Mytilus edulis: one gene and its partners. The protein of the gene in region 3 purifies or fractionates together with the protein of the main gene of each other region. This does not show direct contact. Links are inferred from orthologs where the notes say so. Each region holds a gene or a part of one and is shown on either strand. Other genes may lie near its edges. The genes, in order: RNA N(6)-adenosine-methyltransferase mettl16-like, squamous cell carcinoma antigen recognized by T-cells 3-like and 7SK snRNA methylphosphate capping enzyme-like.

What was found.
Region 1: the proteins of 7SK snRNA methylphosphate capping enzyme-like (region 3) and RNA N(6)-adenosine-methyltransferase mettl16-like purify together in Homo sapiens (affinity purification with mass spectrometry; 3 studies listed by BioGRID). This does not show direct contact. The link is inferred for Mytilus edulis from reciprocal best matches to the Homo sapiens genes MEPCE and METTL16.
Region 2: the proteins of 7SK snRNA methylphosphate capping enzyme-like (region 3) and squamous cell carcinoma antigen recognized by T-cells 3-like purify together in Homo sapiens (affinity purification with mass spectrometry; 6 studies listed by BioGRID and IntAct, counting the BioPlex papers as one, with this or other methods). This does not show direct contact. The link is inferred for Mytilus edulis from reciprocal best matches to the Homo sapiens genes MEPCE and SART3.

Annotation. Positions count from the first base shown.
Region 1 is NC_092349.1:6,455,127-6,466,288, forward strand, and holds the start of RNA N(6)-adenosine-methyltransferase mettl16-like, read left to right. Parts: upstream 1-6,106; 5' UTR 6,107-6,261; intron 6,262-6,386; exon of another isoform or gene 6,387-6,503; intron 6,504-10,099; 5' UTR 10,100-10,107; coding exon 10,108-10,429; intron 10,430-11,162. Other genes in the region: lissencephaly-1 homolog, read right to left, coding at 522-553. UniProt on the Homo sapiens protein: RNA N6-methyltransferase that methylates adenosine residues at the N(6) position of a subset of RNAs and is involved in S-adenosyl-L-methionine homeostasis by regulating expression of MAT2A transcripts.
Region 2 is NC_092349.1:30,326,774-30,337,903, forward strand, and holds the start of squamous cell carcinoma antigen recognized by T-cells 3-like, read right to left. Parts: upstream 4,164-11,130; 5' UTR 4,123-4,163; coding exon 3,961-4,122; intron 2,170-3,960; coding exon 2,043-2,169; intron 1-2,042. UniProt on the Homo sapiens protein: U6 snRNP-binding protein that functions as a recycling factor of the splicing machinery. Promotes the initial reassembly of U4 and U6 snRNPs following their ejection from the spliceosome during its maturation.
Region 3 is NC_092356.1:27,036,458-27,047,670, forward strand, and holds the start of 7SK snRNA methylphosphate capping enzyme-like, read right to left. Parts: upstream 4,975-11,213; 5' UTR 4,651-4,974; coding exon 3,340-4,650; intron 1,442-3,339; coding exon 1,223-1,441; intron 1-1,222. Other genes in the region: zinc finger CW-type PWWP domain protein 1-like, read left to right, coding at 6,036-6,078, 6,601-6,710, 7,271-7,402, 10,974-11,042. UniProt on the Homo sapiens protein: S-adenosyl-L-methionine-dependent methyltransferase that adds a methylphosphate cap at the 5'-end of 7SK snRNA (7SK RNA), leading to stabilize it.

The DNA of each region.
Region 1 (11,162 bases), on a different chromosome or scaffold from region 3:
ACTGTCACTTCCTTGACTTCATGTACTGTAAATTCAGAAATTATTGTGATGTTTTTATTATTGCGAAAAAAGCGACAGGGTTATAATCGCAATAATTTAAACTCTCATTTAGAATCTCTTTTTATGAAATAAATGTATAAAATGATATCGCAAAAATTATTTTTAAATCGCAATTTAGTCTAAAATGACAAAATCACATGATAAATGCATGCAATAATTTCTGAATTTATAGTCATGACAGTATAATCATGAAAACCATGATAACAGTCTGCACCAAAAACTTTTTCAACTACTAGTCTGAAGACCAATATCCTGACATTTTTCTTATTTGGCCAAACAAAGTTTTGCAAAAACTTACTAGTCCGAATGAAATTTTACTAGTCTGGGGCATCAGACTAGTGGCTAACCGTGCAGACTGTGATAATGATTATAATAATTACAATCAGTTATCATGGTAGATATTTTTTTCAGTTATGATTTACACGTAGTGTAAATTATCTCCTAACAGACAGTTGACTTACAATTCCTCCCTTTGTCTTTGAGATAAAACCATGGTTGCTTAAAGATAGTAAAACGTTTTCCCCTTCTGTCTTTAGTTAGGATAATGTCAGCACATCTTAATTTAATCTGAAATTTAAAATCAAATATATATATACAAGAGGAACACTCATGTGCCTGGCTGTGGCATGATCACTAAGCATGTATAGCTGATGGAAACTCTGTCACATGATTCCTGACATTCCAAACTTTTATCCATGTTAACACCTGACTTCCAACTGCAACCCATCCAATCATTTTGCCAATTATGATTATCAGCATCAGCATACATGTACATGTATTTCATTTGAATTTATTTTTAATAGTTCTAAAAAAATGCATCTTCAATCTCTTATTAAACTTTACCTTTTTTTCTAATATATATATATATACAAAATATTAAATAAGAATTTAGTTTTCTATATACCAGCTGACAAATGATGGATATCAAACATCAAATACTAATTAAAGACCTAGTCCATGAAGTCCATGAATTAAGATACATTTCCTTGTTCAATTTCCAAACTGATTTACAAATTAATTGATTTTCATCATTGTTCATTGCAGTAAACATGGTTAACTTCAATTTATTACAAGATCAATAATACATTTCGATTCCGTGGCCATTGTAACTACATTCAATAGATTTCCACTGGGAGCTCATTCTATTACTAAAGAATGCATGTATACATGGTATACGAGATATTTAAATTGTTATTAAGCTTTGAATTAATGCATAATCATGATAATCATCTCATCAAATTAATCATAGTCCAGCAATTATGGCAATACTAATGTATAGCAATATTTTCATAAGTTAGTAATTGACATCGTACATCGTACAATCCTCAATACCTGCATACAAGACAAAAAGCAGAAATTGGAACACAAGGCAAAGTTGCCTATATGATACAGGGTTCTTATTAAGGATTTGTGAAGGCGAGTATAGAGACATGTCATTTTTAACACTGGCGAGTCCAACATTAAGAAAAGGATATTTTATAGCAATATATTTATCATTCTAGTCTCCATGACCTAATAGAGCAGTGAAATTACATTAAATTTTGCTATAAAATGATGCTACAAAATGTATGTGTGTTCAGTTTATAAAAATTTTACAATCTTGATCAATGCATCTTTGGACTCACCAGTTTTGAAAATGGTGAGTCCAGGACTCATTGACTCACCTCAGTGAGAACCTTGTGATATATGTACATTGTAGTAAGTACAGTATTTGAAATCATTAATTACAGATAATTTCACCAGGCAGATTAACTAGCCCCTTGGGGCAAATTCTCTAAAACTGTTGAGTCTGTGAAATCCACATGGGTCATTCAGAGCCCTTATCCTCTCTCTTATCAACTTCAGTTTTAACAGGAATAAATGTTGATGTAAATAATAGGAAAGCAATTATCCAGACAAAGGGGCTTATTATGCAGGATTACATGTACATGTACATGTACATCCAGTTTTCATGAAATCAAGGAGGTCATATGAGAAGGAGAGTGAACACTTTGCTTGGTACAAAATAAGCATTCCCAGGATAGCAGTTCGATCAGAGAAAAATGATAATCAAAGAGCAGATTGCTCTGAGGGATACGATTGCCGTTGTTTCGTTGACACATGTACATGTATACATGTAGCTGGATAATATTATTTTCAAAACTAATTCAACTGCACATGTAAAATAGTTACAAAATAGCCAATCCCGGATAAATGTGTATGAACAATGCAATTAGGCCTATTGTGTTTTATTTTTGTACTATCAATTCCAAGTTTACTTTCCACAGCAGTCACTGAGACTCAGAGTGAGAGAAGGTATTTCACTTCGTATCTTATCACCTATTTTCCTACGTTAATTCTAGGAGGAACCCCATTCCTAACTCTTTAAATATTTAATTTCCTTTCGGTCACTGATCATGACTCCTTTCCGTACACATTTATCGGTTTAAATTTCGATCATTTTTAATATAATACACTTTATTGACAGAACGAGCTAATACCTGACGTATTGTTTTAATTCAGAATTCACGGAAGTTACTTCCAGAAGGGAGACAACTCGAAACAATAATATGGAAGACTCCATTTCGCCTGAAGGGGTGTTCTACGATGTGGACTATATTTACTTTAATTTAAATGATGCATATGATTTAAAATTATGCAACAATAATAACCTTCAATAGCAGACATACATAGAAAAGATCCCATGAGTTTAACATTAATTAATTGAGTGGGGAATCCAGAGCAACCATTCAATCGAAAACCCCTCGAAGTCAAGAAAACTATACGCATGCGCATAATTTCCAAAAAAAACCTGGAGCAAGATATATTAAATGTTTATTAAACGATCTAGATAGTTCTCTATTTCTTTATGGAAGTACAATCTCAAATATCAGTTTCATAAAGGTAAAATATAAGAAAAACTCCACTTCAGTTCTTATATGACAGAAATAGATTTATCGGAATTCAGAGAACTCTCGCATTTTATCAAACTGGGAATTCCCTCTAACGTGTTTCTAAATTTAGAAAAACACTAAATATAAATACTGCGTAATTTTGATTTTCCGTGTTGTTAAAAACATGCATATAAGTCAAGGGAATTATCAAACATGAAGATTATGAAAAGAACATTATAGGAAAGTTGTTAAAGTTCAATCCCTTTGTTTGTTTTTACCTTTTAAAGCAAGACAATCATAAGAATCTGAGATGTTCCTTAATGTTTAGAATAAAACGATTGACGTGAGGGCAATGCTCTGAGCCACCAGTATAAGTCTACAGATTGCTTGAAAGCAATCGTATCCCAAAAATATAAAGAAACCGACATGTTTATCACCCACTTGACATGGCCCTCTGATGTACCGGGCTGTTACCGCGAGCAGTAAGGGCTATTAGATAAATGGCATATTTCTGGTAACAATACAGTGTATAAAAAAAAAGATCAGACGCGCAATTTCAAAATCAATCGTCTGTCTACCGTGAAAAAAGATAAGAAATGACAAAGTTATGATGGTTTAAAGGAAAGTTAGTGTGCGATTTTTATTCAACACTACATTGCTTTCAACATGTAAACAAAGATTTTCACTTCACCTTCCAATTACTGTTGATGAGAATTGGCAGGTAATAATAATAGAAAATATATGAATATGCAAAGTACTTCCATGTAATTGAAATCACCAATTATGTTATTTATACATGTAGTATATTCAAAATGTTCAAATACTTATAGAACATTGTATAATTATAATTAAACCGTTGATGCAACTTTTTTTGTTAAAATTCATTAGACTTGGTAACATGGAAAATTGCTTTGAGCAACAGTGTACCATTTGATAAGACCAAGGGTATCAAGAGACAAGTTCTGTCCAGTCTGACCTTACGAGCAGGATAGATATTCAAACTGCTCTAAACAATAAGACAAAAATAAATAATACTTGTGTTTACGCTAACCATACATTTTTAGTGCCTACCCTAACACTTTTTATGTCATTTTGGAACTTTTGGAATATTAGATGTAAAATCCTGCAATCTGAGGTTACATTTTTGTATCTGGAAGTGTAGATAACTTTTCAAAAATGTAGAGTTTTTTCTCCATGTAATATGAAAAATTCTACTAAAAAACCTTCTAAAAACTGTTGACAAGACTGTTAAAGACTCTTTTCTTTGAATTTAAGACATACATGTACATGTAAAATAAATGTATACAAGTAGATATAAACCCCTTGCCATCAAATTTTGTTTAAATTAATTTCTCATTCAAATTTGACTTTGGAAGTTAAAGAGATCATCTTTTCTGATGCAGACCGTAAGAAAAGAAGAAAATCAATCAGTTAAAATTTTATTCTTCATAATTTTTCATAATATTTTTCAATTTGCTGAACAACTTCTGTTCAAATACAATAACAAATACAGATACAAATTTGCCTCCTTTTCCCTGCTCCTTACAGTAGCTACAGAACATAACTAGATTCTCGTACTCATAGTACTGGAGCCAGGGACGACCGTCCATCCAATGAATTTTAAATTCTCTAACCCGTTTATCCTCGTATTTCTTTTAAGCCTCTGTAACTTGGTAGGACGTGCGAGACGGCCCTTTTGTTTCCTTTCTAGTCCCAGATTACTCTGACGTCCAACAGCTGTTTTGCCAGACAAGCGGTGGTCCCATGGCCCCAGCTTGTCTGGCAAAATAGCCGTTGGACATCAGAGTAATCTCAGACTAGTGCCTTTCCAGGTCTCGCACTATCCGACAGTGAAGCCTTGTATAAATGATGTTTGTGACCAAAATTATGTGTACACTTTCGAAATGAAAACAAAACTGGTTCCACTTCTTCATAAAATTAATGGTACCCAGTCATCGAAATCGTCCTAATAAGCAATCGTCTAAAATACACAAGATGTCAAGTGGGCAGTTACGAATTAATATCTTTCGACGCAAAAAATTGAAAAATGATCAATGTTTTTTTATTTTCTGTTATTATATTTTATTCAGTCTATGCAACATAAATCAATCAATAATTACCAAAATTTGACATTTTGAAAACATGTGGTACTAACCGTTTTTCGTGCTTTTTATTTTATTTTGAACAATCGGTTATTAGGGAGACTGTCAAAACTGGTTAACGGTATTTTTGTAAGGAAGAGAGTATCAGTTAATTAATATAGATGGCGTTGAGTGACATTCTGCGTTAACTGATGGTAACGATTAAAAAAGTGCACACAGATATGCACTGCCACTAGACCGGTCGGACTATCGGCAGTGTACAATGTATCAGTAGTTTATGTAAACTAGTCTGAGCTTATTTAAACTAGACACGGGCTTCAGGCTACCGCTTAACGTCGCAGACTGCATAAATATTATTTTTTTTGCCTAAATATAGCTATATTAACAATTAAAATACGTATTACACTGAAATTTCGGTTGACAAGCAGACCAAACATGAAAATAAAATTTTGACATCATAAATTATCAGAATTTAAAGATCAAAACAAACGAACTCTAAATCAACTGATACAATCTGAGATCATCAGACAGCATTTGCCTGATGTTCATTCTAATAAACAAAATAAGACGAATTCATTAAGTATCACATCTTGAATAACTTTTGCTGTCTGCCTGAGGGATGGGTTGCAAAAATACTCCACAACTGTCAAACTTGTCATTAGAAAGACAATGGTCAATTTATGTCTAATTTTGCATAAATGGTTAAAACATAATCAATTTCACACTTACACACGTATAAATCGTACATGTAAAAAGATAAATGACATACAAAAGTATGTCTGAAATTTAATGAAATGTTAATTTTTGCATGAAGTCATTCATTGATTTATAATGTCACAGACCGCCATTATGAAGCTGTCTGCAATTCATTTTGAAAATAAGGCACAAGAACAGCAATTTTTCCAATATAAATTTAAAATTTCTAGGTCATGCATAATTCCTTTCTTCAATTTTACCTGTAAACCATTGGAATATGTCTTAAATCAACGAAAATATTATCACTTGCAGGACTCCACACGTAAATTCGTCCGAAAATTGTATGAATACGCATGCGCATACGGAAAACATACGGAAGTCGCACAACGAGACTTCCTCGGGATCCAATATGTCTGCGCCCCTGAAACGTTGTTTTTTAGACGTTTTCATACATTTTATGCTGTCCTGAAATAACATTTGCTAGTAGACATTTGAAGTTGCTTATTTAAGTTTCCTTAAACTATTTAACGGTAAGTACACGATGGTGTTTGATAATATGAGGCAGGCATTACCTGTGAATGAGGACGAAGTTTGCTTAAATTTTTTTTTTTATTTTAATTCTGTATTCTGTATTTTAAATATTTGTTACAAAAAAAGATACGGAAATACCGTAACGTTTCCGATTTTGGTTCTGTTGTTAGGGATTTTACTTGTGACGTTATTTAAGTTATGACGTCATGTTCAATGTAAACAAAGAAACGCAATGCATCAGGTAGGCCTAACGTTTAATATGAGGCAGGCATTACCTGTAAATGGGGACGAAGTCTGTATGAATTATTTTTTTGTAACTTTTAAAAACATTTGTTTAAAAAAAAAGAAACGTAAATACCGTAACGTTTCCGATTTTTGTTCTGTTGTTAGGGATTTAGTTGTGACGTTATTTAAATTATGACGTCATATGCAATGTAAACAAAGAAACGCTATCATCAGGTAACATTTTTCCCCCGCAAGCCGGACCAGATGGCCATTATAAAAAAAATCCGAAATATATTGCTTGCAGAGATTTTTTCTGTGTTCCCATGGCTGGACGGAACTTTTACGCTAAATATGTTAACGTTATCTATGATTTTGTAACTTTTAAATGAAGTACCTGTGATTATTTGGGTAATTTGTTTTGACCTCACTGTTAAAGGAATGTTGAAGCAGACGAAACATGGCGTCAGATGTTGTTGTCCTAACTTCGATAATTTCCGTGGTACGATAAAATTTAGATAAGCTACACAAGTAACCAAAATTTCTGAATTCTTGTTTTTGCAAACAAATAAAAATTCATGTTGTATTTAATATCAAAATTATTCCGATCTGTCCCGTTTTTTCAAGGTCACGTTGAAACGTTAAATTCGGCCGCCATTAAAAAAAATAATCATACGAGATTTAACGAGAGTGACGAAACTTTTCAGATGGGTCGTGTAGAGAGAGTTATCGTTCTTTATTCCAAAACGATGCTTCTACCATAAGTGCCAGCTAAAGCTGGCATACTAGACTGATAAATATATATTTTACTCAAAGTTTCATACAAACGAGACCGGAAAAAGGAAGTACATTATACATTTCTGCGCAGGTCCGGGATTTCAAAACACGACAAAAAAAATTTGAACGATTTTGAGTTCATTAGTACAATGAAAAATTCGGGAAATTTTCCCGTATTTTTTTTTTTTATTGAATTTTCTACTGTTATTGGGGACTCCGTCCCCATATTAATTCATACCAAAGACAAAGAATGATTAAAAATGAAATATTGGTATTGTGTTCCTTGAGTTCCTATATTTTACTAGACTAATCAAAGTCTCACGAAAACAAGACTGGAAGAAGGAAGTAGAGTTATGTGTTCTGAGCAGATCCGGAAATTAAAAAACATGACAAAAAAAAAATTGAACGATTTTGAGTTCATTAGTACAATGACCGAAATTTTCCCAATTTTTTTTTTTTTTTGAATTTTATACTGTAATAGGGGACTTTGTCCCCATATTATAGTCGTCCTCGTACTCGCGAGTCTTTCGCTTTGGATAGAAGTGCTCTATATGATCATACACAGTATGAAAAAAAACAAAATATATAGGATAGCGATCGCCATTGACAGTAAAACCTCGTCTGAGCCACTAAACAAGCCCCTGTGTATCATATATGGGGTAGAAATGTCTAATACCGTCAGTCGTCAAACGATAATTTTTGGCTACTGTAAAGCATTAAATTAGTTAAATTTTACCATGATTTGTCAAAATATCCTTCTTTTGATTCGTAAGAGTTATCAAAATATTTAAATTATCTTTTGCATCATTTTTGGAATAATGTCGAAATAAGTCATGTAAGTCAATTGTTTATCGTATAAAAGTGTACATATTATTGTCATGCACAAAAAATTACAGTTACAGCAATTGGTTTGAAGTTTTACTGTTATTCATCATGAAGCCTGAAGATACTCCCATTACCTACCTCCTATATCTTTATATATATATATATATATTTTTGTTTCTAAATTGACAAAATATTCTTGAATATTGATGCCTGCAGGAAAAATTAGTTTGAACAAGTGTTTTTGATATAAATTTTGAGAGCCTCAATGCTCTTGAAGTTGGGTGCTCAACTCAATCTCAAAGCACACAAGAAAGCCACAGGCACTTGTCTTGAATTTCCCCCCCCCCCCCCCCCCCCCCCATATGTTACCTATTCCATTGTATTCTGTATTTTCCACCTTTACCAGATGAACCACTTCAGTTGGAAAATCCTCTTGAAGTGTAGAATCCCTTATTATTGAATATTCACTATTATTGGATTAAAAACATCTTCTACATGTATATATACATTTACACTTATATACACCACCACCACACTTATTTAAAAGTATTCAAACTGTATATACAGCATGTACAGTCATATTTTAAAATCTAAAACTTGATAGATTGATCCACTGTCATTTTGTCCTTTATTTCACTTGTGTCTCTCTCCTCATCAATAGAATATATATACATCACATGTATCCACAACGCATATTGACTGTAAAACTTGCTCAGATCAGCAAATGTCTATTTCACACTTAAACATGCTCATAAAATGCGAACTGTAATTCCTAACCCTTGCTCTTATACCTAGTATTTACCCCTATCAAGAGAGCCTTACTACAGAATTATTAATTCTTAAACTTACGGTAATGAAAAATTTCACTGTTAATCATGTTAATTGTACTTCATGTACTTATGACTTAGCAACAAGTAAACATTTAAAATCTAAAAAGAAGGTGTAAAATTATCACCTATCATATAAGCGTTAAATAAGACCGCCTAACTGATTTGTTTAAAAATATTAAACTAACAATCAGTTTAAATCTTAAGAAATTATTATCATCTATACCACACTCAAAAAATGAAATATTGCACTATATGTCTCTTTTAACTTGGAAAACTATACAAACAGTCTTCATAGTAATAAACTAGTTCTCTTCTGATGTAGACCAAAACATAAGCTGCTTAACAGGCGCTCAATATTTATCCATACTGGAATTTTGTACAGTCCACTATTAATTGTAATAGCTTATCTTCAAAGTTAAATAAATCATCCACAAGAAGAGCATTAATCTTATGTACCATAATATTATGAGGCAGGCATTACCTGTGAATGGGGAGTAAGTCTGTATGAATTATTTTTTTTGTAACTAAATATTTGTTAAAAAAAAGAAACGGAAATATCAGATTTTGATTCTGTTGTTATGGATTTGTTACTTGTGATGTTATTTAAGTTATGATGTGATGTTCAATGTAAACAAAGAAAGACATGAAAGACAATGCATCAGGTAACCATGGTAACCGTAACGTTAATTCATATCAGAGACATGAGTATTAAAATGAAATTTTGGTATTGTGTTCCTTGAGTTCCTATATTTTACTAGACTACTCAAAGTCTCACGACAACGAGACCAGAAGAAGGAAGTAGTTTCTGTGTTCTGTGCAAATGCAGGAATTAAAAAAGCGACAAATAAAAGTTAACAATTTTGAGTTGATGAGTACAATGAAAATTTCCTGACCAATTTTTTTTTTTATTTTATTGATTTTTCTACTGTTACAGAGAACTTCGTCCTCATATAAAACAAGGTACTTAACTTGTCTTTTGAAAAAAGTCACCCAAAACATACAACTGGCAGAAAAAGGTATTTTCCCACTCTCTTCATGATCATGTAGTTTCTTATTCTATCTGCACAAAAAAAGATAACTTTTAATGAACTAAACACATATTCTGCGGAATTTGTAAGATACATGTACTTATACAAACTGTACAAGTGTAATTTATTTACCTTTAATAAAATATTTTTTACAGAATTAATTATGGCGTTGAATAAGTTCATGCATCCAAGGAACAAGTACAAAAGCAAGAAGGCAAATTTCCAGTACCTTGCCATCAAATATCCAGAATTTAGGAAACATGTTTATCCAGATGTAAGTGGAAAGCTTTTTCTTGACTTCAGAAATCCTGATTCTTTAAGACAGCTTTCCACCACACTTATGAAAGAAGACTTTGGATTGGATGTTGTGTTGCCTCCTGATAGACTGGTACCTACCATTCCTTTGAGGCTTAACTATATCTTATGGATAGAAGATATTTTGAAAGATTCCAGTATTAAGGGAGACATTTTAGGAATAGATGTTGGTAATATTAAGCATACATATTATAATTTATTAGAATCTTGAGAAACAAAATATAGAACATGTAGAATCAGAAAATATTCTCCACGATTAAAAAAAGGAAATGTGGTATGATTGCCAATGAAACATTTTTTTACTCTTCCATGTCTTCACATGAGACCAAATGACACAGAAGTTACATTTGTAACATCTATAGGTCACTACAACCTTCAACAATGAAAAAGCACATACTGCATAGTCAGCTACATGTATAAAAGGGCCTTAAATGTCAAATATTCTCCTTGAGGTCAATTAATTCTGATAGGATAATAATAACAATGACATCCAGAGGGCAATATAACAGTCTTTTACAAAAAAACAAGACTAACACTCAATGTAACTTGACAAGCTTTTAATGTTTGAGTTTATAAGTAAAAAAAGTTACATAAATGAAATAGAAACAATTAACATGATTAAAGACTTGCCTTTATTAACTAATTCTTTAAATGAGAAAAAAACTATTAAGATATGACTAATTTAAGACAACAACTGAACTCAGAACAGGCACTTGTGTATGCAGATGTGACTTGATTTACTTGAAATGATTTTTATATGAGAGGTATATGCTCCTCGTTTTAAAACGTGATGTTTAGATTAACAAAACCTGCATTTAGAGAGAACATACAATGAAAATAAGTCCTGGAAAAGGTTTGTATCAGACAAACATTCAACATGCTAAAATAACAACCAAACTTTTA
Region 2 (11,130 bases), on a different chromosome or scaffold from region 3:
TCAGGTCGCCAGTAATGGAACAATGACTGCGTCATTTTCCAAAACAAGAGGCTCTCAAGAGCCTGAATCGCTCACCTGAATTTTTTTGGTTTAATCTCTCATCAATGATTATTTTGGCTTTTCAATTTATTTAAATGTTCTTTGAATCGTCCTATTTTCTTCAAAAGCAAAAAAAAAAATCATTTTCTCCTATGTTCTATTTTAGCCATAGGAGCTATGTTTCTTGACATACAAGGAAATGAAATATAAAATTTATACTAGATACTCTGAAACTCTGAAACTCATTTAGCCTAAGTTTGGCTGAAATTGATACAGCAGTTTCATAAGAGAAGATTTTTTAAAGTAAGTCAACATGATGAACAAATTGTGAAAAAAGTCTTTAAAGGGCAATAACTCCTAAAGAGGTCAATTGACAATTTTGGTCAAATTGACTTATTTGTAGATCTTACTTTGCTGATCATATTTGCTGTTTACAGTTTATCTTTATCTATAATAATATTCAAGATAATGACCAAAAACTGCAAAATTTCCTTAAAATTACCAATTAAGTGGCAGCAACCCAACAATTTGATGTTTGATTCATCTGAAAATTTCAGGGCTGATAGATCTTGACCTAATGAACATTTTTACTCCATGTCAGATTTGCTCTTAATGCTTTCGTTTTTGAGATATAAGCCAAAAACTGCATTTGACCCCTATGTTCTATTTTAAGTAACGGTGGCCATGTTTTTTGACGGATCAAAAATCAAAGCACACACTTTGTGCAGGATAATCTAAGGAACAACCATGCTAAGTTTTAACCAAATCCATTCAGCAGTTTCAGAGGAGAAGATTTTTTAAAGTTAGCAAATATGATGAACAAATTGTGAAAAATTGTCATTAAAGGACAATAACCCCTTAAGGGGTCAATTGACAATTTTGGTCATATTAACTTATTTGTAGATCTTACTTTGCTGATCTTTTTTGCTGTTTACAGTTTATCTTTATCTATAATAATATTCAAGATAATGACCAAAAACTGCAAAATTTCCTTAAAATTACCAATTAAGTGGCAGCAACCCAACAATTGGATGTTTGATTCATCTGAAAATTTCAGGGCTGATAGATCTTGACCTAATGAACATTTTTACTCCATGTCAGATTTGCTCTTAATGCTTTCGTTTTTGAGATATAAGCCAAAAACTGCATTTGACCCCTATGTTCTATTTTAAGTAACGGCGGCCATGTTTTTTGACGGATCAAAAATCAAAGCACACACTTTGTGCAGGATAATCTAAGGAACAACCATGCTAAGTTTTAACCAAATCCATTCAGTAGTTTCAGAGGAGAAGATTTTTTAAAGTTAGCAAATATGATGAACAAATTGTGAAAAATTGTCATTAAAGGACAATAACCCCTTAAGGGGTCAATTGACAATTTTGGTCATATTAACTTATTTGTAGATCTTACTTTGCTGATCTTTTTTGCTGTTTACAGTTTATCTTTATCTATAATAATATTCAAGATAATGACCAAAAACTGCAAAATTTCCTTAAAATTACCAATTAAGTGGCAGCAACCCAACAATGGTTTGTTTGATTCATCTGAAAATTTCAGGGCTGATAGATCTTGACCTAATGAACATTTTTACCCCATGTCAGATTTGCTCTAAATGCTTTCGTTTTTGAGATATAAGCCAAAAACTGCATTTGACCCCTATGTTCTATTTTAAGTAACGGCGGCCATGTTTTTTGACGGATCAAAAATCGAAGCGCACATTTTGTGCAGGATATACTAAGGAACAATCATGTTAAGTTTCATTCAAATCCATTCAGTAGTTTCAGAGGAGAAGATGTTTGAAAAATTGTTAACGACGACAGACGACGACGACGACGACGACGACGACGACGTCGACGACGACGGACGCCAAGTGATGAGAAAAGCTCACATGGCCTTTTAGGCCAGGTGAGCTAAAAATGATTGAGAGAACTCTGTATTTATCCATCAATGAAAATCATTTTCATTTGTCAATAAAATGTGAACAACTTAGACTCCTCGCATACCTTCTGCCAAGGGAAATAATTCACTCATTCGTTGTCTGGCATCTCTAAGCTGTTCTAACTCTCCAAGTTGTTTTAATAACTTAATTAAATCTATGTGAACATCATACAGGTATGGGTTCTTTGATATCTGAAAAATAGACTACACATTTAATTACAGAACAGGGCAAAAAAGTTTTGGATGAAAATATAAATATTTCAAGAATGAAAAACTTCAAAAAGGAATATTGCACAGTGGAACTGTTTATTCGATGCAACACCATCGTGCATTTCCGATTAATAATCTTTACTAATTTTGCAAGATTTGGTGACATATATATATATTTGATTACAGGTTAATGGAATTAGTAAAAAGTTTCGATGCTTACTGACTAGTGAGCGAAGTATGCCTAATATTGCAGTTATATTCAGAAGAATTGTTTTAAGTCGATACAAAAATTGGTGTAATTGGTAAAGTACTGTTTTTAATTTAATTCAATATAATCATTATCCTGATTATAATGACTAGTTTTAAATCAAATCATTAGATTATTTATATTTGGTTTGATTATTCAACATTTTCCTGATGATTATGCTAAAGTATCATTAATAATAATTAACTTTTGAGTTTGTCTGTCACCAGAAAAAAATTGTCAATTATGTGCTCCTTTATGACGTCATTTACCAGATAGTGTGCAATTTAGCTTTATAGTTTTCCAAACATTCTCTAAACATTGAAACAGAAGTGACGACGCCCCTAAATGCAGACATGATGTTTATTAAAAACAAAGTTTTTGATGGAAATGCATTGAACTCAAAAGTTGTCTATTTAATCAAAATCATGAGTGACAAGATCTTTATAGTTTGATCTTTAGTAATTTAATTTATTGTAATGGTGGTCACTTTGTTTACTTATCTATTTGGGGAAATTGGTTAACTTTATAATTACTTATAGTTCCGTAACTCTTTCTTCCGAGACCGGCCATGAAATTATCCTTGTCGGGACTTCCTGTTCTAGCACGTGCCCGGCCGGGCTCGTTGTCCATAGGAACTATACGCATATGACGTCACTCACCGGGTTCGGGACAGTCTACACTAAGGATTTGAAATGAGCAGACGCTCATATCGTTTGGCTTTCAAATATGGAACCTTTATTTATACAAGTAGACTAGCCACCACCGTATATTTATTCATTGTAAACTGTGCTTAATCTATTTGGCTGAGATTAAATCTATATTATGAGTAACGTATTCTGTTTTCTAATATTCCCTGAACTCGGGAAACTTCCACTCCCGTTACATTATAATCAAAAAAATGTCTTATCTATTCATAATCATGATAATGAAAATATTCCTCAAGAGATAGCTTTTTCGACTGTCAAGCTTTCATTTTATTACAAAATTCAAAAACATAAACAGCTTTATTTTTTAATGCTTAATACAAATATTTTTTGTTTTAGGAGGGATTGACTTTAGATGGATCATCTTGAGACGGAACAACTTGGGACAGATTGACTTTGGCTGGATCGACTTGGGGATAGAATGATATGAAAACAAAATATCTGACGCTGCAATGGAGAAGTGCTCGTTGTATGATGTCAATACACCATATCGCTAATCCTGGCTGACCCGGCCGCTTGAACTTTTGACGCATACAACAATCACTTTTTCATTGTGGCGTCAGACATTTTGTTTTATGACGTCAAAATTTTACGGGAACCTGTGTGATATCCAGCAATGGCTGACAAATGGCGATAAGGTGTATAGTTCCACCACACAGATTCTTAATATTCGACCGGTGCAGATTTCGAAATAGCGATATAATGTATTTGTTATGGGGTTTATTATGTGAGTTTGGACCTCTTTCAATACCAATAGTAAAGTCTACTAAAGATCAGTAGAGTAAGGCTTTGGCTTCAGTTTTTGCTATAAAAGTAAATGACCTGTTTCTGAAGTTCTGCAACCTGTCTCTCCGATTCCTCATTTTCGCTGTCAGAGTCATTGGAATCTGAATCTTTCTCGCATTCCATTTCTACATCTGCCTTTTCATCGTCGTCACTATCTTGCATTTCTTTATTATTTTCGTTTGAAGTAGAGACCTCCATTGCGTTTAAAATACGAACTAAGGGAGGTAATTGTGAAAAATGCTATAACCAAGGAAGCAGATACGGTATCGGGTCCTTTGTTCGTTTGTTATCTTTCACGTTTACGTTATTAGTATGCAAAGATTATTTAACGAAAAGAAAAAGAAAAAGTTGTACATGAATGCATAAAAAGGAAGATTCGTGACAAAAATATGTTTGATTAATATTTTTTTGGCAGGGATATTGGAAATCTTAGTCTAACTTGAATTAACTAAATTTAACTATTTTCGTGGGTATCTATTTTAGTGGATGGAGGAAAACTTGCATTTTCGTGGGTATCTATTTTAGTAGATGGAAGAAAACTTGCATTTTCGTGGGTATCTATTTTATTGGATGGAGGAAAACTAGCATTTTCGTGGGTATCTATTTTAGTAGATGGAGGAAAACTAACATTTTTGTGGGTATCTATTTTAGTAGATGGAGGAAAACTAGTATTTTCGTGGGTATCTATTTTAGTAGATGGAGGAAAACTTGCATTTCCGGAGTGAGTATTTGATTTCATGGTTTTGCCAATCTCTACATACAAAGCATATAGAACATTTGTTATTCGTTGAACATTTTAATTCGTGGTTCACACACATGTACTATCGAAACAAACACAAAAATTGGTATCCAACGAATAATAATGACTCCACAGTACCAGTAATTTATTGGCTTGCCGGTATCATGGGCAAAACAAAGGAATCTTGTGGGGAGGTATTTTTTAAAACTTTATTATCCAAACTGTGGAAGAGCTGGATAGCTCCATATCTGTATGCAGAAGTCTTGTGGTTTTTCGTCTGATATTTTGTCCTAATTTTGAGGGTCAATAACCAGGGTGTTTATATAGTAGTTTTTATATGTTATATTTTTGGTATTTTAATTAATTGCAAGGTATATATGTCCTTCATACAATGATAACATCAGTGGTCTAGCTTTTGTTAGCGTGTTCACTCAAGTTGGAACCCTGGCATGTCAAAACTGGTGTTTGCTGCTGCTCTTCTTGTGGATTGAAAAAAGCAGGGTTCATATATTCATATAGCCAATACTCTTGGAATATGAAAATGCTTCAAGCTGAATGCAATGCTCTTAAAATATGCCAATGCTTCAAGCTGAAACCACAATTCTTCAAGCTGAAACCAATGCTTCAAGCTGAAACCACAATGCTTCAAGCTGAAACCACAATGCTTCAAGCTGAAACCACAATGATTCAAGCTGAAACCACAATGCTTTAAGCTGAAACCAATGCTTCTAGATGATGCCACAATGCTTCAAGCTGAAACCAATGCTTCTAGATGATGCCACAATGATTCTAGCTGAAGCCAATGCTCCTAAAGTTTGCTAGTGTATCAACTACAGTCAAAGCTTTTAAAATATGCCAATTAATACAAATACAAAACGACTATTTTATTGGCGCAAACTCATTAACAAATAATGGTTAAGACCTATTGTATACATATAATTATATTAATTGACATGGTAGAGTGAAAAGTTACATGATAACATATCATGATAGAATGAAAAGTTACATATTGATTTATCATATCAGTACACTATTTCTTATATTTAGATATTCTGATATGAAAGAGAAAGACAGTCTAATAATGCTGAGCTTATTATTGATATCAGTGGTAATGTAAGTGGGTCTCATTGGGGTCTAAGCGTGACGCGGGATTGCCGATTTTTTGTAAGCGTGACACGTGAAAGTCAAATTATTGTGGCGTGAAAACGGGAAATTAGGTCTTGCGGGACCCGGGAAATGAAAAAAAAATGAGAATTGCTTATGTACATAGTGTAAGCGGGATACGGGAATCTGACAAAACAGTAAGCGGGATCCGGGATCGGAACCCCCCAATGAGACCCCCATGTAACGCTGTATTTAGATAACTTTTATTTTATTTTCTAATATTTCTCGTTTTGAGGTAAATCTATGACATTGTCAATAAACTTAAATTGATGCTCTGAAGGTAACACGATACCGAATGGCATATCTCCCGATTTCCAAACTTTTTGGCACATGTGTTCTTTGAATTGAGTTATATCGGAATATGTAATAAAAAATGGGGGTCACCATTTTTGTTTTCTTGGTATTTTCATAGGAAAACGTCAATTTTGGCGACAAATTTACCTAGGTATATAGGGGAAATGCCTTTTTTTCGGCTTAACTTTTTAGATTTTCCAATGGATGGCTATGTTCTTATATACGGAGAAAAACAAAAAACTAACATAATATCCAGAATTGCATACTGAATCCATACACGTATAGAAACTCATATGTCACCATCCTTGTTTTTGAGATAAATGGCTTCAAAGTTGATTGATATCATTAGAATTGGACCGAAAACGTGTGACGTTATTGAATACAGAATGTAACGTTACGGTATTACTACTCAGAGATATTGAAAACAAAATATGTGTCGGGATCTGAATGGTGTTTATTTTATTTTTTATTTCCGCTGTCGGGTTTCGTTAATTTCCTAGTAATGAAATACACAATTCTGCTGATATAATTTATTTCGTTCTGCACCTGGAAATTTCACTCACATGAATTACCCATTAATCTCGTCTGATTTTCATAACGAGCATATACTTGAAACTTGCTTGAACTGGTTGGTTCCACGTGAATCATGCATAAATCAGGTACACGTTGAATTCACGTAAATTTTCAAAATAAGATTGTTAAAAAATTTAATTAAAATCATGAAAAATACCTTCATATTTTTGTAAAGTTCACGTGAAAATAACATGAAAAATTTCACGTGGGATTCATTTGAATTACTGAGTTTTTAACTCCATCATTTAAGACAATGGTGGTGTCGTTGCTTCATCCATGCAGAAATAGAGTACTTTAAAAAATTTGATTCAGTTAACAGTTTTATAATTGATCGGTTTTTATAGTTTTATAATTGGTCTAAATAATTTCCCCCAATATAGCATTTCTTTATATTTTTTTTCATAAAGGAGCCTGTAATTCAGGTGGTTGTCGTTTGTTTATGTGTTACATATTTGTTTTTCGTTCATTTATTTTTTACATAAATAAGGCCGTTAGTTTTCTCGTTTGAATTGATTTACATTGTCTTATCGGGGCCTTTTATAGCTGACTATGCGGTATCAGTGTATATAAAGTGTGAATCCAGCTAGTTCATTTTCACTGTCATATGCGGGTATGTCTATTGTAGAATAAAGGATCATGGGAAAACTGTATTTGTTTACGTTTTGAAAATACCAAATTAATTGATTTGAAGGAAAGTTTTTACATATTTTCATTGTGATATGTCTTTATTATGTACAAACATAGCATTAAAGTTCAAATAAGTGTTATAAAAGCAACATAAGCGATCCATGCCAAGAAATTGCCTCTGTTGAAATTTTGCAAACATCCCATAGAGCAAATTACATGGATGATTATTATTAACCATTTGGTATGTGGCCGTGTTCTAAGCGACACGTACATGCAGGTCATAAATTAATTTGTTGAATGAAATCCAATCTTTAAACTACTAATAGGTGCCGCAGGAGGTCAACCAGAATTTTTAGCGAGGATTTCTTGGCATGTAACAGATGAGGGCCCTCATGGGGTTTTTGATTATGTGATTACTTGGCCGTTTTTTTAATGATTATTTGATTATTAAGCCAAATATTTCATGATTATTTGATTACCTAGGACTGTATTTTTAGTTTATGATTATTTGATTACTAAAGATAAGCAAATATTTAATGATTATGTGATTATATTGGCAAAAAAATGGTGATTATGTGATTACTAGGACCCCCCCATGAGGGGCCTCACAGATAGAAAACTCAGGGTAAGAATTTATAGAGCAGACAAGGTGCAGTGGCAAATATTTCATGTATATTATGAACACAGAGAAGATAACCCCGGCACCCTTTGCCAAAAAAAAAAAATCTTTTTCATCCATGTGCCTTTAGACTTTATGTTTTGAATTGTAGTTTCACTTTCCATATTCGGTATTCATTCTAATGTAAGCTCCACGTGGCAAAAATCACGTGATGCAGGAATATTGTATCTTGGAGTTAGGCTATTTCTTTCTTTTCGGGCGGGGACTCCAAGCAGACAACATGCATGTTTTATAACGCAACTGTATATTTTTCTTATTAAATGAAGAAAGTTGCCGGTCCAGTACAAGGATAGATCGGTTAGAAAGCAAGGTTTTAATTTTAATTAGAGTGGAAAGCTTAATTTGAGAGTTAAAATCGGAGAGGACGAAAAAAAAGGGGGGCGGGTTCTTCCACAGGGAATATTTTTATCTTAGGAACTCTACATTAGAAAGTTTTTTTTAATTATTTATTTAAAAAAAAAAGAAAGGGAAAAACAATTGTATGGCAAATTGTGAAGGTTCTTTCTTCCTTTCTCCCGTGCGGCTATCTCGCATATATCTGGTTTACCGTCAAACCGAGCGCATGCATGTCTTTTTGGTTGTTTCTGTCACTAGGTGGCTGTATCATTGACGTTTATCCCATATTTTCATATTGAAGCACAATGCACACGTAAATATTGTTTTAGAACATGAATTTAAAGTTTCATGTCATGCATACTAAAGTAAAGAAAAGCAAAAAAGCGACTCAAAGAACTAAATAGAAAAAGACGAAATGATCTGATTTTCTGTACCTCAATTTTTTTTAACTGAAACAAAAAAAAAATGTCTTCACTGGGAACTCTCGAGCTGAAACCTACACTCTTCAGGTTAGCAGGGACAATACTCTGTCTTTAATTTTGTCATTTTTGCGCATTGGATCGTTAAAGACCCTGTCAGTGGTTCAAAGTATTGCTTATCAAAGACATGTCTATTAAGTTAACGAATGCTGCATTCGAATAGGGACAGCTCTATTCATTCTCCAAAATTTTGCAATCTTTTGACATAGAAAACACCCTTTTCTATTTAAAATAGATATTCTACATTATAAGGTGTCGACTTTAAGTTAGTAATGGAACTTGAATAACTTTGAAAAGTTTAATTTGTTATAAAACTTAAACAAAAGGTTGCCACATATGTAATATGATGGACACACCAACCTTTAATGACAGTACCCTTAAAATTATGTGCCCTTATCTTGGAAATCTTAAAAATCTTAAATATCTTCTTATTAATTATTGGTTTCCCCTTAAACATCTGACATTAATTTTAAATAGTTCTGCTTTAAAATTCATCTCGTAATCTTTCTATTATTTAAAATTATTAAAGGTTAAGCTTTTTCATGTCCAGCGGCACATATTACAGTGTTATCCGAATTCATCGTTATACGATGCGGGAAAAATTGCTATTGTCAAGTTCAATTTCAAATAAATAGATTCGTGTTTGAACAAAACTATGATCTGATGTGCAATGATTGGTGTATTCATTGTTGGTCTTTAATGCCACTTTTATCATTATTTGCTCTTTCATGGCGCCCAGCTGTTTTTGAGTGTAGAAAGCTGAGACGCCCGGAGAGAACCACTGACTTTCGGCAGGGAAACTGTCAATCCTAGTCACTTAAGATTGGAGTCGAACCAAGCTACCACGTGTAGGGTTCGAACTCTGAAATAAGCAGTGAAGTAGTAATTTTTACTAACGAAAGAAACTTGCTTCTCACTTTATCCAGTTTTCGTTTGATATATAGTTTTGTTTTCTATAATTCAAATTGAAGAAACCAAGGCGTTTTAAAAACGATTTGAAGAAAACAAGGTAGCCGAGTGCATAGTTCTTTCAAACATATTATTTTATCGCTAGAAGGCTGTGTCGTCATGCCAAGAAATTGCCTCCGTTGAAATTTTGCAAACATCCCATAGAGCAAATTACATGGATGATTATTATTAACCATTTGGTATGTGGCCGTGTTCTAAGCGACACGTACATGCAGGTCATAAATTAATTTGTTGAATGAAATCCAATCTTTAAACTACTAATAGGTGCCGCAGGAGGTCAACCGGAATTTTTAGCGAGGATTTCTTGGCATGTAACAGATAGAAAACTCAGGGTAAGAATTTATAGAGCAGACAAGGTGCAGTGGCAAATATTTCATGTATATTATGAACACAGAGAAGATAACCCCGGCACCCTTTGCCAAAAAAAAAAAAATCTTTTTCATCCATGTGCCTTTAGACTTTATGTTTTGAATTGTAGTTTCACTTTCCATATTCGGTATTCATTCTAATGTAAGCTCCACGTGGCAAAAATCACGTGATGCAGGACATGATATTGTATCTTGGAGTTAGGCTATTTCTTTCTTTTCGGGCGGGGACTCCAAGCAGACAACATGCATGTTTTATAACGCAACTGTATATTTTTCTTATTAAATGAAGAAAGTTGCCGGTCCAGTACAAGGATAGATCGGTTAGAAAGCAAGGTTTTAATTTTAATTAGAGTGGAAAGCTTAATTTGAGAGTTAAAATCGGAGAGGACGAAAAAAAAGGGGGGCGGGTTCTTCCACAGGGAATATTTTTATCTTAGGAACTCTACATTAGAAAGTTTTTTTTAATTATTTATTTAAAAAAAAAGAAAGGGAAAAACAATTGTATGGCAAATTGTGAAGGTTCTTTCTTCCATTCTCCCGTGCGGCTATCTCGCATATATCTGGTTTACCGTCAAACCGAGCGCATGCATGTCTTTTTGGTTGTTTCTGTCACTAGGTGGCTGTATCATTGACGTTTATCCCATATTTTCATATTGAAGCACAATGCACACGTAAATATTGTTTTAGAACATGAATTTAAAGTTTCATGTCATGCATACTAAAGTAAAGAAAAGCAAAAAAGCGACTCAAAGAACTAAATAGAAAAAGACGAAATGATCTGATTTTCTGTACCTCAATTTTTTTTAACTGAAACAAAAAAAAAATGTCTTCACTGGGAACTCTCGAGCTGAAACCTACACTCTTCAGGTTAGCAGGGACAATACTCTGTCTTTAATTTTGTCATTTTTGCGCATTGGATCGTTAAAGACCCTGTCAGTGGTTCAAAGTATTGCTTATCAAAGACATGTCTATTAAGTT
Region 3 (11,213 bases):
CTGCTTCTATTCCAGAGCACCTGAGATCACTGCCAGTTTTTGGTGGGGTTTGTGTTGCTCATTTTTAAAAGTTGGGTTTTGTGTACTATTGTTTGTCTGTTGGTCTTTTTCTTTTTTAGTCAAGGCATTGTCACTTGTCATTTCATTTTCAACTTGTGAGTTTGAATGTCACTTTGGTAGGTTCACCTCTATTGAAAGTACAAGTTCACAAATATTGAGTGGATTGAAAATTTCATTCTTCTGGTTATGACAATTAACAATGATTAAAATAACTTTAGTTTATTCTACTTCACTGTGTTTAAATTCTCACCTATTGAGTGGGGTTAGACATTTGTGGTAATGTCAAAATACTTGTGGTCTTCAATGATATATAGATGTATATATGTAAGTTATTACTCCTTGATATTGGTTTTAGTTTAATGCTGTGTCAAGACACAAGAGCTACATGTATATATGTATCTCAAAGCATGAGTTTACTTTTGCTTTCATGGTTCTAAGAACGTCGAAGATTTTACTTTAAATGATATTTATAAAATGAATTATGTATACATGTGAATAAACAGACATTGTATTATGAGATATTACTTTAGTACTTGAATTGTAATCTTTTTTATAACACATACATGTACAAACATTATAATGTATTATATATTTAAAATTAAAGGTTCCTTACATATTACTTTTTAAAGAACTTAAATTGTTCTTTATTATTTTTTTTGTATTTTATATCATTGTTTGTATTGTATAATATTGTGAAAATTATTGATGTTGTTATGTTTATGCCCTTTGGGGCCAATAATAGGAACATGAGGAAATGAAATATTGTACATAACTTCTGAAATAAGTTCCATACAGTGTTAGGTCACTTTTTAAGTTCTAAACATGCAAAATGTGTGTTTCAAAAGATTTCAATGACAATATCCCCCCCCTTTTTCCATAAACAATTTTTTGCAAATTCTTACTTTACATATTGTATAGTGCGATATTTTCAGGATGGATTTATTTAAAAATATCTATTTTCTGATAAAGATTAAAATAACATGAAAATATCAGGGAATCCCCTTATGTTAATTCTATATCTACATGTACATGTAAAGAGGATTAGAACCAGGAACCAAGAAAACTAAAATAAATCTATGTTACTAATTAATATAGACCTAGAAATTATGAAAATAATCCATTTAACAATACATATATAACATTTTAAAATCTCAGTACTAACTGTGAGTTTCTTTTTCTTCTTGTAAGATGACCATGGCTGTGGTTCCAAGATAAGTCTGCCCCCAGGTCGAAGATGATTGAAGATCCTACGGAAAAATCTCTTCAAGCCAATGTCACCGTTATTCAAATGAATCCATTTAGTTAAGCTTAAAGCTAGTATGACATCATATTCTTCTCTCTGCTGATCTACCATTTCATCTGATGATAAAACATAGTTTCCCTGAAATTTATAAAATGATAAGAATTAGCTTATTTATACAATTTTTACATCACCTGTACAATTAATTTGATTAGTTGCATAATATAATAATAATCATGCATATGTATTGCATTAATTCTTCCAATGCAATATTACTGTACAATAATTATGATTCAACAACTTGAACAAATTTCTTGGTACGTGTACAAAGTGCATGGCTATAGCTCATAGCCATATAAAATACCTGTAATATGCATGTGAATACATGTATATGTGTATGCTAAATTCAAATAATCATTCATAATGGAAGTACAATGTACAAATTTTGTAATTATATGTAAAAGTTGCATTACAAAGGAGATGTTATTACCATGACTACCACATTTAATATTCCTCACCAAAATTAACTCACTGAAACCATATTCTGTTTGACAGCTGTACAGAGCATATAGTTCCATAGCAACTACTGCAAACATCCTTGAAATCATGAAAAGTCAATTAGAATTTTGTAAATATATATCATTTACACCATTGCGTTCAAATATTAAATTACTTTTTTCACTATATTTCAAATCATGTGCATATATATACATGTATACATATTTCATGTACATGTACATGCATGACCCAAAAAAAGGAAACAAAATTCTTTTAATAGATTTTTTTTAGATATAGTTAAAACATTTTTATGCATATGATTTATCAGCTGTCAGTTGAACATATATATACATTTGTACACATGTAACTTTTGTATTACATCATACATGTACATGTATACATTTAAAATTAAAATTAATTTTCTGAAATACAAATTTTAAAGAATTCCTTTTCCTGTATTACAAAGGTACTTAAATATGATCCTTTAGTCCAAAATGTGATTTTCAAGCATTTTCTATCGAAGGCTTACTTACATTAGAGTCAGTTTAAATTGAGCTGCGAAATTTGTAATATGAGTCGCATTATGCTCAGAAAAGGTCTTATAAAACAAAAGAGATGCATATAAACCTTAGCATGATGTGTAATAACACACCTGATTCAATATAGATCATCCAGCAGGTAGCAAGATTTAATTGCCCTAGCAGATTATGGGTTACAACCCCCCAATAAACAGGCGCAGAGATCCAGGGGGGGTCCGGAGGTTGGAACCCACCTTTTTTTTGGACGATCAATGCATTTGAATGAGACATGTAGTTGGAACCCTCTTTTTTAAAATTGCTGGATCCGCCCCTGATAAACATAATAAATGCCTGACATCTAAATGTAGTGACATACATGTAGGGGATGCTGGTGATTTCATCAGATTATGTCCATAAGTATAGTAATGACTACTGCACCAGTCTTCACGATGAACTGTTACAGGCCCAGAGCTCAATTTTTGAAAATTTTTAGTTAGATTCTGTTGGCCTCAAGATATGATTTTTACAGGCCCGAGAGCAATTTTACAAGCCTGGGCTGCCACTCAGCGTGAAGACTGCTGCACAGGAAGACTTAAAACCTACTCTGTAAACAATAAACCTAAGCTTAAGTACATGTACATAAACCATATAAACAATGCATATATGACATCCTTTTTTTATGTTAGACCTAATAAAAACCTGTGTTTCTGCTGACATACATACATATACAAAAATGTACTGGAAAAAAAGCTGGAAGGGTGAAAGAGTCAAGACTTGTATACAGTCTGTGTCAAACTGTTTTAGGGTTTGTCTGACCAAAAAAGAAATTTTTGTTCTATATATATTCAACCATAAAATCTTTAAAGTTCTGTCTGACCAAATGATTTTTTGTCTGACATTTTGTCGGTTGGACATGTACAGAGTTTGGGATACACTGACTGTAAATAGCGCTTGTTCAAAAACTAAATATAAAATCTTACTCATATAAATGTACATGTAGCTGACACTGCATGTATGAATTACCTGTGTAAATGTTATATTGTATGGAAATCCGTCTTTCGGACTATTCCCAACCACAGGCGGTGCTAGTATCGGACCATAATTGATGGAGTTTGACACTGGAAACGATTTTGAATCCGTCTGACGCGATGTAATATAATGCCTTATATTCTTCCTTGCTGCAGTAATTAGTGTTCTATCAATGTCTACTCCTACTATTTTAGTAGGATTGAAATCTCTAGCAATTGAAAGTGTCAGATGTCCAACATTACATCCAATATCTAGTACATCTTTCTTCTCAAACCATTCCTGTTTAAAGCAATGTAGTCTATAGTCATCTTCTGTTTCTGGGTTTCTATAGCCATAGTATCTATTGTAATTGCCATGTACAAACTTTGGATTTTTATTAAATTTGACAGCACCAGATTGTTTTTGGTTTGATTTCTTAGATATTTTCACAGGCAAAGGTTTAGGAATCTCAAGATTTCTTGATGGACTTAATGATGTTCTGAAAATTGCTCTAGCTGCTGTTGACTCCGGTCTTGCATGAACATCACTCATACTTGAGCATCTCGTCCTTTTCCTTGGCCTTGGGGATGACTGTGGGATTACTGGAGACACAATTTTATCTGGTTTTGAAGAAGAACTAAGTTTGAAAGTTAATTCTTTCATCTGTGGAGATTTCATTTGGGTTAAATTCATATCAGTCAACTTAGGTTCATCTATTTCAATCTTCAAAGCTTGCATTAAATTTTTCCTTTTTTCGGATGGCACCCATTCCTTTGCTAACTGACTACCAGAAGAAAATGATTCATGTCTTTTTTTATTTCTTTTCTTTTTCTTTGCACCTCTCATTCCTATTTCATCATCTGCTGACTCTAAATTCAATGGGTCTGTTATGTTGAATGGCACTGAGTTGATAAGTTCTTTCCGATGTGCTGGTGTTGGCACAGGTGACGAATATGGTGTCTTGTCATTTTCCTCTTCATTTATGCTGTTTAGGTTCAATGGATCATTAATATTTCCACCTAAAAGAAATTTTGTCGGCAACACAATCTGTTCACTTGGTGTTGACTTGAATCTTTTTCTGCGTGACCCCGGGCCATAGAAAGAAGCATCATTTCTGTTAGCGCTTAGTTTTCTTTTCTTCCACTGAACTGATAAATTTTGTCCCCCATCACTTGCTCTTCTATAAGAGTTGTAGTTCTGTTGATTTTCGTCAAATTTGAATGTAACAGGTGATGGTTTTGGTTTTGAGCTCGATTGTTTATCTCCACAAAGAAATTCAGAATGTTCGAACTGAGTGTGGGTCGGTGTCTTCACTTCAACACTCATTTTAACGTCTTTTCACACACAATCTATGTGTTTGTTTACATCGAGCACGTGTTCGTAATGTAAACGTCGGAACTTTGCTGCCACCTGGCGGTTGACCAAGCCAAAATGCGGTCACAACAACAATCACCTATTTCGTCCTGGCATTAACAGTTCTCAAGAAGAATAGGTTCAAAAGTTAATATTAATTGCACAATTTTAGATTAACGAAGCATTAAATGTCAGAAAATATCCACCAAAGTCGAAGTAAACTTCCTAATGTTTCCTTGAGCGCTCCGTCCAGTAAGGCAGTTAGCTCACACTGGATATCCAATGCGCCTGTGCAAATTATAGAATTGTGGGAAATTATTTCGGAAATTGTTGTTCCGAAAGGCTATAAATTGTCGTCTGCAAACAAACATTTGAACAAGAAAACAGATTTTGACTATTCCCAGAAGACTAAGCACTGTATGGCTCTCTAAGAAAATTGAAGGTACAGATATTTATGAGGAGTACAAAATATTTGCAACAATTTCTTAACATAACACAGGTTTAAAACAAACAGTTGTTGCAAGCACTTGACTTACATTTTACACAATTATTTTTATTTATTCAATTTTCATTATGATACAGGTTTAGAACATTTTGTTTTTATGACATCACATGACCTTATAAGCAATGAAATAATCATCAAGTTTTTTATGATTGATTGATAACTGCTTTTCTTCTCCTTTTAAGTTATTGTTGTTTATGATGATGTTCCAGACAGCTGCTCAAGACATGAGCTGAGCAAGATAATTTTATAAGATGCTATGCCTTTAGTTCATAAGCTAAAGGCATAATGTAGTGGTTTGACCACAGGAATCGGAAGATCTATCAATAAAATTCTGTAAATAATAAGGTCGACTATCAATTATAGAACTTCTCGTAGAATTTACAGAATTTTATTGATAGAACTTCCGATTCCTGTGGTTTTGAATATATATGTATGCATCTTTAAATTTAACAATTGTATTTGTGATGTATTGAACCAAAAATGATCGTTTCAAACACATTGAATTGGATGAATTAAGTATCTTATATAAACCAGTGCATTAAACCTGAAAGATATTTTACTTATACACCAATATATACAACAATATAATATCTAAAAAGAAAATATGCTTTTGCTCTGAGCCACAAGATATGCAGACATTAGAGATTTTTTTATGGCACCCTTTGAGTGATCAAAAGTAACAATTACTGCATTTAAAAAGTCATGAACTGAAAAATAGATTGTCATATAATAGATCAACTATAAGTGCTCCGATGATGACTTGGTTAAATCATTTATCAAATGTAATGCATTATTTTTAAAGATCAGCAATTATATTTTCTAACTTTTTCTGTTTTTGTTTCAGCATATAGAAATGACTGACCCAAAGAAGCCTTGTTTTAAAAAGACATTTGCAGGTAAAAATTAATTACTGCCCTTCCGTCTTAGTCAACCCATACCCTATAGGTCAGTTAGTCTGTCTGCAGCACTTCTGTCACATCAAGATTGCCTCAACTGTCTGATTTTCAATTGTTTTGCATCTACATGTATAGTGTAAAATCCTATGAAAGGATAATCTCATTTGTGCCCTTTTGAAATTATCCCCTAAACATTGTTGAAGAAAACAAATTTTTTGGTTTAAAAAAAGAAAATCACAAAACATCTTTTCATGCTAGGATTTAGCTGCGAAAACATAGTCCTTTTGATCCGCAAATATCAAAAATCATCAAAAGGAATTAAGAGCTACGTTTTCACAGCTAGCTAGGATTGCAATGAAGGATATGAAGAAAAAAAATGTTGTAAAAATTTAATTCTTTTAAAAAATTACAGTACACCTTGTTGGCTTGCTAATGGATATTCTTCAAATATAGATCAGTATTAATAGAAACAAAAATGCCATTATAATCTATGTATCTTACCTTTATATATTTGTTTTCCAGTACCAAAGCTTAAAGCAGAAGTAAAAGCTGAGAACTTACTATTGAGTCCCAAAAATCTGTTTAAGACTGCTGAAAATAATACTGCCAGATCTGAAATTGTTCAGGTTCAGGTAAATTAAACTGATCAACACTAGGTGTGAGAGTTAATTTCACAAAAAAATCTAGCTGCTTCTTAAAATTAAACATTTAAAAGCTTCTCAATTTGTCAAATCAAAAGATGTTCAAGTTCAGACAGACTTTTAGACAATATTGTCTTACCTGAAGTCATATATACAAATAATGAATACCTGCACAATATTATCTTATTGTCTAATTATTTTTCTTGGATTTGATTAACCAGTAGGTACACAAGAATATAAAAACCTATGCATTAACTTTAAGTTTAATTTGTACTTTATTCTGGTATAGGTAAAGTACTTCTCTGATCAAAATCAAATTCAATTTTATAGTAGATCTCATGTGTTCTTCTAATAGACAAAAGTTTGAAGATTCTGAGCTTTCAAAACATGCTTGTATTATATAGGTATTGTCTCATAGGCACTCATATCACATCTTCTTATATCTATTGAATATAAAATGCATCTTTAAATATTCTCCCACAATAGCATGAATAGGATTGTGTGCATTATATAACTTAACTGCATTTAAAATTTTGCATTTTTTATAACAGCCAAGTTCTGGAAAATGTGATGATTCTAATGATGTCATAGACAAAGAACAGGACAAGGAGAATACTGCAGTGGTTCCAAAGAAAGTCAAGTCAAAGAAAAGCCTTTTCCAAGCTCCATGCACCTCAGATATTGTTAGTTTTTTTCCATGTATAAATTAATAGCCCAATTTTTGTAAATTTATTTTAATTAAGGTGGTACCTAACACTACAGGGAGATAACTCTGTAAAATCAGATGAACGCTTTAATTATGTTGTGTTGGTTAGGGAATATTAAGCTTCTCAATGATCAAAATTAGTGTTAGTCAAACTGCTATGTAACCAGTGTAATTTTTCTGATAAATTGGTTGGTTCAAATTTTTTGAAATTTTTATATTTCTGTCAAAGTAAATACTTTGTCAAAATTTTTTGAAAATTTAACGAGCCAAATTTATTTTAGTGACGGTGTTGGGTACCACCTTAAATAAGCTAGAATAAGAATAGAATTTTGGACAAAAAAAGGTACTGATAGTTAAGTTTTATTTTTTTGCACAGGTAATACCTATGTAAGGAAGACCTCTTGTGTGCTCTTTTGAAATTCTCCTCAAAACAGTTGTAAAATTTTTTGGAAAATTAATTCACAAATTTTCAGATTTCGTATCCTCATATTCAAGGCCAGACATTATTTCTGTTAACTTTAATACTGTAGACAACTGATTCTGGAAACAAAATGCTTTTTTCTATACCCGATTCCAAATTTCAAAAAGATAATTCCAAATAGAATTATCTCCCCTTAATTATTTCAACACAAAAAAATTACTGCTTTCTAATAGGTAAAAGTAAAAAGGGATACCAATCATTTTTGGGATATGATTACTTTCAAGCAATCTGTAGACTTATACCATTGGCTCAGGTCCATGCCCTCACCTCAACCGTTTTATTCTAAACACTAAGGAACATCTCAGATTCTTATGATTGTCTTGCTTTAAAAGGTAAAAACAAACAAAGGGATTGAACTTAAACAACTTTCCTATAATGTTCTTTTCATAATCTTCATGTTTGATATTTCCCTTGACTTATATGCCTGTTTTTAATAACACGGAAAATCAGAATTAAGCTGTATTCATATTTAGTGTTTTTATAAATTTAGATACGCGTCAGATGGAATTCCCCAGTTTTGATAAAAATGCGAGAGTTCTCTGAATTCCGATAAATCTATATCTGTCATATAAGAACTGAAGTAGAGTTTTTCTCATATGTCACCGTTATGAAACTGATATTTGATATTGTACTTCCATAAAGAAATAGAGAATCATCTAGGTCGTTTAATTAACATTTAATATAGGTTCTTGCTCAAGGGTTTGTTTTGGTAATTATGTGCATGCATATAGTTTTCTTGACTTCAAGGGGTATTAGATTGAATGGTTGCTCTGGATTCCCCACTCAATTGATTAATTTAAAACTCATGGGTTCCTTTCTATGTATGTCTGCTATTGAGGGTTATTGTTGTTGCATAATTTTAAATCATATGCATCATTTAAATTAAAATAAATGTAGTCCCCATTGTAGAGGTGTAACTATAACACCCCTTCAGGCAAAATGGAGTCTTCAATATTATCGTTTCATGTTGTTTCCCTTTGGGAAGTAACTTCCGTCAATTCTGAGAGATACAACACGTCGAGAAAAATTAACTCGTTCTGTCGATAAACGTCTTATTATATTAAAAACGATCGCAATTTAAACCGAGGAATGTGTACGGAAAGGAGTCATGACCACTGACCCAAAGGAAATTAAATATTTAAAGAGTTAGGAATGGAGTTCCTCCTAGAATTAATGTAGGAAAATAGGTGATAAGATACGAAGTGAAATACCTTCTCTCACTCTAACCCGTACGAAATTATAAGGCGTATTACGCCTGGAAATAAGGCGTAAACCAGGCGTAAGTGGTAGTTACGTGTCTAGATCCAAGCGTAAGGGAGCAGGAAACGTAAATTTGTAGTCCTTACGGGCGTAGAAAAAAGCAGTTAACCTGGCGTAAATTGAAATAAGCAAGGCGTAAGTTTTCTTACGGGCGTAAATTGAAATAGGCAAGACGTAAATTTTCTTACGGGCGTAAAACTGTTGGTATGGCGTAAATAGAAATACCCATAATGCTTTGTTTAAAGGATCATGGGATTTTTTTTTCAAAATTTGGCTCTTTGGTTTTAGTGTGTAAAGGTTGGACACATGGCAGCTTCATATATTCAGGGATAATTTGCTTGTTTTGTGCTTTTTGGAAGAATCTGAAATTGGAAATACTGAATCTAATAAATAAATGAAAATTGTGAAATAAAAGGAAAGTAGTTATGCATGGTAAATAATAATAATGTGAGTATAACTAAGTTATTTAAAAGTATTATGTTCTATCAGAATTTTTGAAATCCCAAAACCTTTATCCTTGGATAAATAACATTAAAATCTTTTACTTAAAGTTAAATTGCAGTATTATCATTTATAAATTAGTTCAAAAGACAATAATTTTCAAAAACAACTTAGTTAAAATGCTATTTCAAGAAAAAATAGTTGTTATAATTCTGATTTAAACTTAAACTTATTTGAGCCATTGTCTGCATAAAATGTATTTATTTCTATATTAGCTTCTTCAATGTTTAATATTTCAAGTTTTTTGTCAAACAATAAGAAATAAAAGCAACAGTACAGAAGTTTGTATCAATACACAAAAGTACACAGCTTAGGGTTAATACACTGAACTAAAATAAGTGTAGTATTATGTAAGGATATTACGCCTGGTTTATTTATTGACCAGGCATACTCATTTGCATATTACGCCTATTTTTTTGTGAACCAGGCGTACTCATTTAAATATTACGCCTAATTTTACGCCTGGTTTACGCCTTAGTTACGCCTAATTTACGCCTGGTTTACGCCTGGTTGACGCCTGGACATGCATTCAGTAAACACTGCAATGCCGCCAGGATAAAGTATGATTTTTACGCCTGGTTTCCGTGTCATATACGGGCGTCACAGTTCGTACAGGAAGTCTCAGTGACTGCTGTAGAAAGTAAACTTGGAAAAAAGTAAAAACACAAAAATACTGAACTCCGAGGAAAATTCAAAAAGGAAAATCAAAAATCAAAAGGCAAAATCAAAAGTCCAAACACATCAAAAGAATGGATAACAACTGTCATATTCCTGACTTGGTACAGGCATTTTCTAATGTAGAAAATGGTGGATTGAACCTGGTTTTATAGCTAGCTAAACCTCTCACTTGTATGACAGTCGCATCAAATTCCATTACATTGTCAACGATGCATGAACAAAACAAACATACTCAAAGAGTAAAAATGTCAAAAATAGGGGTACAACAGTCAATATTGTGTTATCATCTTAATATCACTACATAAACAACAACTGTAACAAAGTAGGCATACATCAAATTTAACATTCTCATTTTGCTTTTCTTATACGGCTGAATTTATCTATATCTATGGAATTGATAGTACAAAAATAAAACACAATAGGCCTAATTACATTGTTCATACACTTGTATCCAGAATTGGCTATTTTGTAACTATTCAGATTACGTAAATTACATGTGCAGTTGAATTGGTTTTGAAAATAGTATTATCCAGCTACATGTATACATGTGTCAATGAAAATAATGGCAATTGTATCCCTCAGAGCAATCTGCTCTTTGATTCTAAGCTTAGGTTTGATGCTGTTTCAGGAAAAAAAGGAGGTAAAGGAAGAATCAAGTGAGAAGACCAAAAAGAAAGGAACAAAGAAATCCCTTAAGGTAATTTTTTTCTAAATTAATAAAATAATTAACTTTCATTTTGTTCATTTCATCTTCTTCTGGGAAGTTATGGTCAGAGTGTACCAACATTTTAAAATATATTCAAAATGTTTAAAATAAAACTATTGGAGGGTAATATACAATGCCAATGTTTGTATTTATATTTGCCGG